Linked DNA regions of Callithrix jacchus. The protein of the gene in region 1 interacts with the protein of each later gene in a pairwise test. Links are inferred from orthologs where the notes say so. Each region holds a gene or a part of one and is shown on either strand. Other genes may lie near its edges.

Region 1 (4,088 bases):
CGTCTCTAATGAAAAAGCGAAAAATGCCAAGGGTGGTAGCTCATGAGTGTAATCCCAGCACTTCGGGAGGCTAAATCGGGGTCGGATCAAGACCATACCCACTAACAGGGTGAAACCCTGTCTCTACTAAAAATACACAAAATTAGCCAGGCGTGGTGGCTTGCACCTGAAGTCCTAGCTAACTCCTAGCTTGCACCTGGAGGCCTAGCACTCCAGCCTGGGCAAGAGAGTGAGAGTTCATCTTTAAAAAGAAAAAGAAAAAGTGAAAAATAATTTAACTGGGTGTGGTCCACACACCTGTATTCCCAGTTACTTGGGAAGTTGGGGTAGGAGGATCACTTAAGCCCAGAAGTTCCAGGCTGCAGTGAGCTGAGATTGCACCTCTGTACTCCCTCCCGGATGACAGAGTGAGACCCTGTCTCAAAAAAAAAAAAAGAAAAGAGAAAAAAAGCAAGTTATAGGGTCCAATCTGAGGAAGGGAGTGAGTGTGTGTGGTAAGAGAGGGAGAGGGAGGAGGCCTCTTAAGCCTTCTTAATCCTGAAAATGGGGAGGAGGTCGTTTAAGCTTCAGTGCAATAGTGACCTGACCTAGTTTTCTATTTTTAGAGATGGGGTCTGGCTGAATTGCCCAGGCTGGTCTTGAATCCCTGGGCTCAAGCCAGCCTCCTGAGTAGCTGGGACTACAGACATGTGCCACCCCACCCGGATTGACCTAGTTTCTTTGTTCCGAAATTATCTGTTGTTGTTCCAGGCCAGTGCTGGGCACAAGGTAGTGGAGCCTATTGAGAAATGGCCGTGACCCCCAGTGTTCATTCATCCTTCCATCTTGCAGCTTGTGCTCCCCACCACACATAGCCCCGCTGTCTGGGAGGACTGTCTGCCCCTTGAGGTCACCTGCTCCTGGCAATTGTACCAGGACAGCCTTGCTGTGGGTGCGAGCCACAGGACAAGACAACACACCCGGGAGCTGGAAGGCCCAATCCCAGGGAAAGCACATAGCCTGGGGCAGGGCACCAAGGAGCCTTCCAGCCCCACCTCCTAAGGAAGGAAACCCCAGGCAAGTGTAACCTTAGGCAAGTCACTTTTCCTTTTTGCATCACTGCCTGCCTGTCACTGATTTCTATCCTGGCCCCACACTAATAGCTACCCATTATATATATATGTATGTATTTTAAGAGATGGAGTCTCCCTATGTCACCCAGGCTCACCTTGAACTTCTGGGCTCAAGCGATCCTCCTGCCTTGGCCTCCCCACGTGCTGGGATTACAGGTGTGAGCCACCAGGCCCAGCAGCTGCCATTTTGCCACTTTAATGTGCACCAGCTCTGTAATCAAGTGAATCCTATATGTTCCTGCTAATTAACCCAACAGTCCTACAATGGTGGTGATTAATTGCTCTGTTTTACAAAAGAGGAAACTGAGGCTCTGAGAGGTTGGGGACTGCCCCGAAGCCTTCAGTGCGTGTGGATGCAGCTGGGATGCAGGGAGCCAATGGGCTGGAAGTGAGGCGACCCAGCAGGTGGAGGCGGAGGGGAACTCACCTCCATGGTGGCTGCTGCTGGTTGACTGTCCCTGCTGGTGACTGGCGTCCCCCGGGAGGCCTGGGGCCTGGCGTCGATGCTTGCCAGAGCCTGGGGGCCTGTCCCCTGCGGTGCTGGGGCTCAGGCCCCTCTCTGCAGAGCTGGAGTCTTCCTGCTCACTCGGCTCAAACTCTGGGATCTGGAACATGCTCTGGGCTGTGAGGACAAGATGTTAGGTAGTCAAGGCACAGCTGGGGCCAACGGTGGTCCTGGAAGGCAGAGGCAGGTGCCCCTGGCTCCCTCTCCCACCCTGGCGCCCCGAAGCCCGCCAGGCCTCCCGGGCCCTCATCTGTCTGCTGGGTCTGGCCTGGCAGGGAGCTGAGGCTGTCGGCTCAGGACCTCAGTCTCCCGTCAGAACCCTGGTGGACCCAGGCCCCTACCCAGGGGCCTACCCAGGTCCCGCCCCGCCCGTGGTGACGGCGGACAGGTCTCACCCCAAGCCCGATCTCGAGGCCCCTGACCCGGGCCTGCCGCCTCCCTCCTGCAACCGGGCTCCCGGCCCTAGTTGCCTGGGCAACGGGAACTGTCAGCGACCTGCCCCAATCACCTCTCGCAACGTCACTCGGGTAGGTCCAGAGGCGGGGTCAACCCGGCCCGGCCCCGCCCCCCCTCGTCCCGACCTCCTAGCCCACCGCCTTTTTCCTACCTCCCGCGGCCCGGGTTCTCACATCCCTACTGCCTCACACCTTGGATGTGTGTAGGAGCAGGAGAGGGATTCTCTGGGGTCCCCATTTGGAACCTGGAGACCTGCTTCTGCAGACAAGTCCTTCAGCCCCTCTGGGCCTTAGTTTACCTCCAGTGAAGAGGGGATGGTGACAGCTCTCCCGGGAGCCAGTGAAAACTTTGTGAAAGGAGTGATTACTACGGGCGAAGGCGCTCGGCACAGCCGCAACTGAAGCTCAGCCGTCGGATGCGATTATTGTTGCTATTGTTACTGCTTCGCCTGGACTGGGTGACCCGGTCGGAAAGTCCCGTTCCCCGCTCCTCCTCCCAGGCGTGGAAGCTTCGCGCCGCCCGCCTCGGGGGACACCTCCCGCGCCATCTCGGGGGCACTGGAGATAAGGGAGGGAACCTCCTCCCTGGCTGGGATGGCTGCCCGGGCGCGGGAGGAGGGCCGGGGACCCAGTGAGGGTGGACCGTAGGGCCCGCGGGGGCTTCGCGCCTGGCAGGCGGCAGGCCAGGTGAGCGGGGCCGCGGGCGCGCCAGGACGGGGGGCGGGCCCGCGCGGGGGATTCGGGGCTCCGCGGGTTCAGACCCGGGGGCGGGGCCCGGAAGCCATCTTGGCTATGGGCGGAAGTTTTCTTTAGAGACCGAGGGTCGGGGATTCGTTGTCCCCGGCCGGGAGGCAAGACCCCAATTTGGGGATGGGGGAGAGAAGCGTGGGAACTGGCGGCCCCCCGAACTAGTAAAGGCTGGCGGCCCGGGGCGCGGCCTACCCGGGGGTCCCCTGTGTGCGGCACAGTCCCCCGCAACTCGGCCGCCCGCCTGCCGCCTCCTGTAACCCCGGGCGCCCGCCAGCGGCGCAGCTCGTGCCAATTCTCGAACGGCTCCACGCCGGGTGCGGCGCTAGACTGCGGAGCCAGCCCGGCCCCTGCGCAATTTGCGTAGCGAACGGCGCCCGCGCAGGCGCAGGAGGGGGCGGAGCAGCGGGAGCCGGGGAGCCGGAGCCCCGGGTCCCCACGATCTGAGCCGGCTCTCCCAGCAGCGGCCTGAGGACCTGGCATCCGCCTCCTCCCGCCCCTTGACGCTGGAGAGTGGACGCGGTGGAGGGGTGGGGCGGGGGCAGCCTCCGAGAATTCCGAGGACAGAAGGCAGAGGCTCTCCCCATCCGCATTATTGGAGGAGAGAGCCTCCCCCAACTTGGGGAGGGGGAGAGCGGGGCATTGGGCGCCCCCGATAGCGGCCGCTGCCCTGGGCCAACGGGCATCGGCCGGCTCTCCCCCTCCAGCCAGGACGACACGAGCGATTCAGGCCAGGGACTCCTTTCCTTGGGCCTCTGCTTCCCTCCATCACTGGCTCTGGGGTAGGCCCAGGGAGGAGACACCACCAACCCTCAACCGATCTGCCCTGGAGAGAAGAAACTGCCCTTCCATGCCCCTGAGTGAGGGGCCTGGGGCCCAGGCTGCCCATGTTCCCCAAGGGCAGGGGTCTCTCTGTTGAGGAGGAGAGGTCTGTCAGCCACAACTTCTTTCCTCCTGAGCGCCCCATCTCCCTCTCTGCACCCTGCAATTCCCACCCCTCCGTATTTATTTCCTTGGCCCCGCCGACAGCCCCTCCTTCTCTGTCTCAGGGATTCAGGCCTCCCTCCCTGACATGGAGAGTAACCTGTCTGGCCTGGTGCCTGCTGCCGGGCTGGTGCCTGCGCTGCCACCTGCTGTGACCCTGGGGCTGACAGCCGCCTACACCACCCTGTATGCCCTGCTCTTCTTCTCCGTCTATGCCCAGCTCTGGCTGGTGCTCCTGTATGGGCACAAGCGTCTCAGCTATCAGACGGTGTTCCTGGCCCTCTG
Region 2 (3,944 bases), on another chromosome or scaffold:
CCTTCAAGAGCCAGCTTATCCTTGTGCACTGAGCATGCAGTAGATGCTCAATAAAATTCTCAGGCAGCCCAAGGCCCCTTCTCCTGCCCTGCCCTTGGCATGTTGACATCAGTCGGGGCCTTGTTTTAATCATTATTTTCCTAGCTTGTCGGGCAGCCCAGACCACGGTAGCACAAAGAACCCTCAGCATTCAGTGCCACCTGGGATTGGGAGTGGCTCAGTGACCAGCCAGTTGGGACACCCCAGCCCTTTGCCACAAGAAGTCCAGCCTGAGTTTGAACTCAGATCCTGGCCCCACCACTTACAGGCTGTGTAACCTTGAGCAAGTCACTGGCCTCGTTTTTCCTCATTTTAAATATGGGGAGACCAGCTGTGCCCACTGTGGGCTGGGTAGTGAGGATTAAAGAGATTGCTTGTGTGGAACTAGCAGTGGATTGGCTCCTAATGTGTCCTGAATATTACTTGTCCCAGCCTCTCCTCTGGTAGAAGGCACAGCATATCCAAGGCCACGTCTCAGGATGGGTGCGATTGTGTGTGTCTGTGCCTGTGTGGCGGGACTGTCCCCGAGGGTAGGACTCGATCCTGCCCGGAGCAGTGCAGACCCACGGGCAGGGTGTGGCCCGGCAGAACCCAAGCCCAGGCAGAGCTCGGAGCGGGCAGAACGACGGGGGCGGGGGCAGGCCTGACCCGCCCCTTGGGGCACGCGGCCGCCAGGCTTCTCCGCCGGCCGGTTTGTTTGTTTTGGGGGCCGTTCCAAGCCAGATCTCTAACGTGGATGGAGTGGCGCGTTTCAGGGTGGGGCTATGACAATGCACTACCCGTGCAGCCACCATCACTGCGCCCCCTCCTCCGGCTCCGCAGTCTCCAGCCCGGTTTTACCCCTTCCACCTCCATCTCTGCGGCGGTAAAATGCAGCACTTGCAGAGCGCCTGCGCGGCTTTCGGGCGGGGCGGCGGCGGTGGCTATTTATAGTAGGTGACGTCACCTTGAAATAGACCGTTATGGCCGGCCCGCCCTTCCCCCTCCCACTCCCGCCGCTCTCCGCCGCCGGGCCTGGCCGCTCTCACTGCGCAGGCGTTGTGCCGTCCTCCCATCCCCCAGCGCTGTCGTCTCTCCACCTTCGGCGGCGTCCGCGGCGCGAGCCACTGCGCGCCGGGCTAGCCAGCGAGAGGGCGCGAGCGGCGGCGCTGCCTGCAGCCTGCAGCCTCTGGCCGTCCGGCAAGCTAGTGCGCGTGCGCGGCGGCGGCCTCCGCGGCGACCAGAGAGCGGACGGATCGGCGGGCGAGTGAGCGAGTCAGTAGTGTGAGGCGCGAGGCGAGGCCGAGCCGCGAGCGACATGGGGGACCGGGAGCAGCTGCTGCAGCGGGCGCGGCTGGCCGAGCAGGCGGAGCGCTACGACGACATGGCCTCCGCCATGAAGGCGGTGAGCGCGCCGGGAGTGTGGGCGGCCGGGCGGTCGGCCGGCCGGCAGGCAGGCAGGCCGGTCGGCCGAGGGGCCTGGCGTTAGGGAAGGACGGGGATGGCTGCGGGCGGTGTTCTCCTGGCCTTGGGCGACCCGGCTGGGCGTGGCCGCCCTCAGCCCGCGCTTCCCGCTCCCGCTGGGCTCTCCGCCACTTCCTGAGGCTGGACCCGGGGTCGGGGATCCGGGAGGGAGCAGCTGGGAGTCGCGGAGGCAGCTCCGCGGGGGCTGGAGGGCGGGCGGTGGGAAGTCGCCCCATCTTAGTTGGGAGCCCGGGCGGGAGCAGGGGGTGCACGAGGGGACGCGAAGGATCCGCATTCCCGCTTCTAGACGGTTTCACCGCACCCGGGGGTTTCCCCCTTCTCGCCTTCCTCCGTTCCCCAACTTGGAAATAAAGAATCACCTAGTGAGTGGCGCCGTGTCTCAGCTGGTTTTCTCTGCCACGACCTGAAGTCTGTAATTCCTGTTTTGCTCTGCTCGTCCGAATTGTTCTGGTTCCGCCGTCCCACGCCTGGGGTCTGGCTTTGTGTGCGAAGACCCCTTTCCTGCAGTCTCGGCGTGGACGAGGGCGGGAGAGGGGGCGGAGGGTGTGGGGCCTCACTCCGCAGCCCCAGGTTTGGTGCTGCGCTGGTTGCCTGGAGATTAAAATGAGACCTGATTGTAGGTGAGACGAACCCTGTGTGCCTTTGCATTCCCGAGACCCTCATAAATCGATTCTGCAGCATAAATCGATTCCGGTGAAGTCGTGCCCAGCCACACCCTAGCAAAATACCATGGGTCATACACCACCTGCATTTCTGAGTTCCGGTTACCAGCTCACTCTCGCTTCACGTTTATTTTATGTTTTCTCTAAGTGAATGTTACTTATCTCTGCGTCAAGGTCACACTGTGGAATACAACTGCGGCCACCACCCTGCTATGTTCAGTATACAACCTCCTGAGACTTGGGAGGATCCCCTTGAACTCCGCCTTAGACCTACTATAGGTTTAGAAATTCGGGGGGGGGGTGGTGAGACTCAGACATCTGCATTGTAACCAACTCTCACAAGCAGTCTTTAGCTGGCTTAAGTTTGAGAATCATTGCCCATGATTATAGCAAATGTATCCTTTCCCTGGCCTTTTGGAGAGAGGTCCGAAAAGACTGCAAATACAAAGGCTCCCTAAAATCTTAGAATCATAGAATTTTGGAAAGCTCATTTGAAGGCTTTTGATGTTAATATCAGATGAAATAAGTAGTTGGGGCCAGTGTTCAGCATTGTTCAGGTAAGAAAGGTACTTGAAGAGTTGCCTTTCCTGTGGTGTCCTTGTTACACACATAACTGGGTGTGTGTGGAAACCAGCAACACTGCCCGAATGTTGATTTGATGGTGATCTTGACTTGAGCACTACTAGCATGCTGTTGTGGTTAGGCAGGAGGTTTTCATCCAACCCAGGGGACGGTCTAGGTCTGGAGGCTGAACCTTAGGTAATTCAGGGGGTCCCTTAAAAGAAAATCTAAAATGCAGTTCTGCATATTTTACAGAAATGGGACTCACTGAATGCAAGCTGTCTCTGTCCACAGCAGGTCACACTTAAGCCCCTTCTCCCCAGTGACTGAGTGGTACTGGGATTATGCAGGTTGAGGCCGCTCCACGTATTTTGGTGAAGTGCTTGCTCACCCTCTGAGTGAGACTTAAAGACTGCAGTATTAGGAGCCCTTTGGGAAATAAATAGGGTGAAAAGAAAGAGACAAGGTTTAAAGGAAGGGGAATGCAGGTTAAGGAAAAATGGTTGGAAGGTGCATTCTGGAGCAATCAGAAACCTGGGGCAACTTGAAATGGGGGAAAAAGGCAAGAATGGAGAGATGTTACCAGAATGAAATCTAGTTTGAGCAAGGAAAAAGATTGGCTTTCTAGTAGGGTTGTAAAATGCTTTCCTGCAGCCCGCTACTTGTGTCCATAGATTTTCTCTGGACGGTTAAGGGAGCCTTTTGTAAAACAAAGGAATTTATAATATCTGTATTTGAAATAATGAGTTGGAAAAGCCACCCAGCACTGAAGAGTTAATCCAGGCCTTAATTCTCCCATCTCAGAATTATGATAAACCATTTCCCTCCCATCATTTAAATGGAATATATTGTGCTTATAGATGTTTTCTTTAAAAAAAAATAGGGCCGGGCGCGGTGGCTCACGCCTGTAATCCCAGCATTTTGGGAGGCTGAGGAGGGTGGATCACGAGGTCAAGAGACCGAGACCATCCTGGTCAACATGGTGAAACTCCGTCTCTACTAAAAATACAAAAAAAATTAGCTGAATATGGTGGCATGTGCCTGTAATCCCAGCTACTCAGGAGGCTGAGGCAGGAGAATTGCCTGAACCCAGGAGGTGGAGGTTGCGGTGAGCCGAGATCGCGCCATTGCACTGCAGCCTGGGTAACGAGCGAAACTCCGTCTCAAAAAAAAAAATAATAATAAAATAAAAATATATATATTGAAAGGAACTAGCAG

The links. The genes of interacting proteins can lie anywhere in the genome.
Region 2: the proteins of BAD (region 1) and YWHAH interact in binary tests that used the Homo sapiens proteins (3 or more experiments, as listed by UniProt). The link is inferred for Callithrix jacchus from reciprocal best matches to the Homo sapiens genes BAD and YWHAH.

The regions. Positions count from the first base shown.
Region 1 is NC_133511.1:121,342,697-121,346,784, forward strand, and holds the start of BAD (bcl2-associated agonist of cell death), read right to left. Parts: upstream 2,801-4,088; 5' UTR 2,311-2,800; coding exon 2,265-2,310; exon of another isoform or gene 2,181-2,264; intron 2,094-2,180; exon of another isoform or gene 1,971-2,093; intron 1,735-1,970; coding exon 1,540-1,734; intron 1-1,539. Other genes in the region: integral membrane protein GPR137, read left to right, coding at 3,892-4,088. UniProt on the Homo sapiens protein: Promotes cell death. Successfully competes for the binding to Bcl-X(L), Bcl-2 and Bcl-W, thereby affecting the level of heterodimerization of these proteins with BAX. Can reverse the death repressor activity of Bcl-X(L), but not that of Bcl-2.
Region 2 is NC_133502.1:202,419,032-202,422,975, forward strand, and holds the start of YWHAH (14-3-3 protein eta), read left to right. Parts: upstream 1-1,144; 5' UTR 1,145-1,336; coding exon 1,337-1,423; intron 1,424-1,862; exon of another isoform or gene 1,863-2,111; intron 2,112-3,944. UniProt on the Homo sapiens protein: Adapter protein implicated in the regulation of a large spectrum of both general and specialized signaling pathways. Binds to a large number of partners, usually by recognition of a phosphoserine or phosphothreonine motif.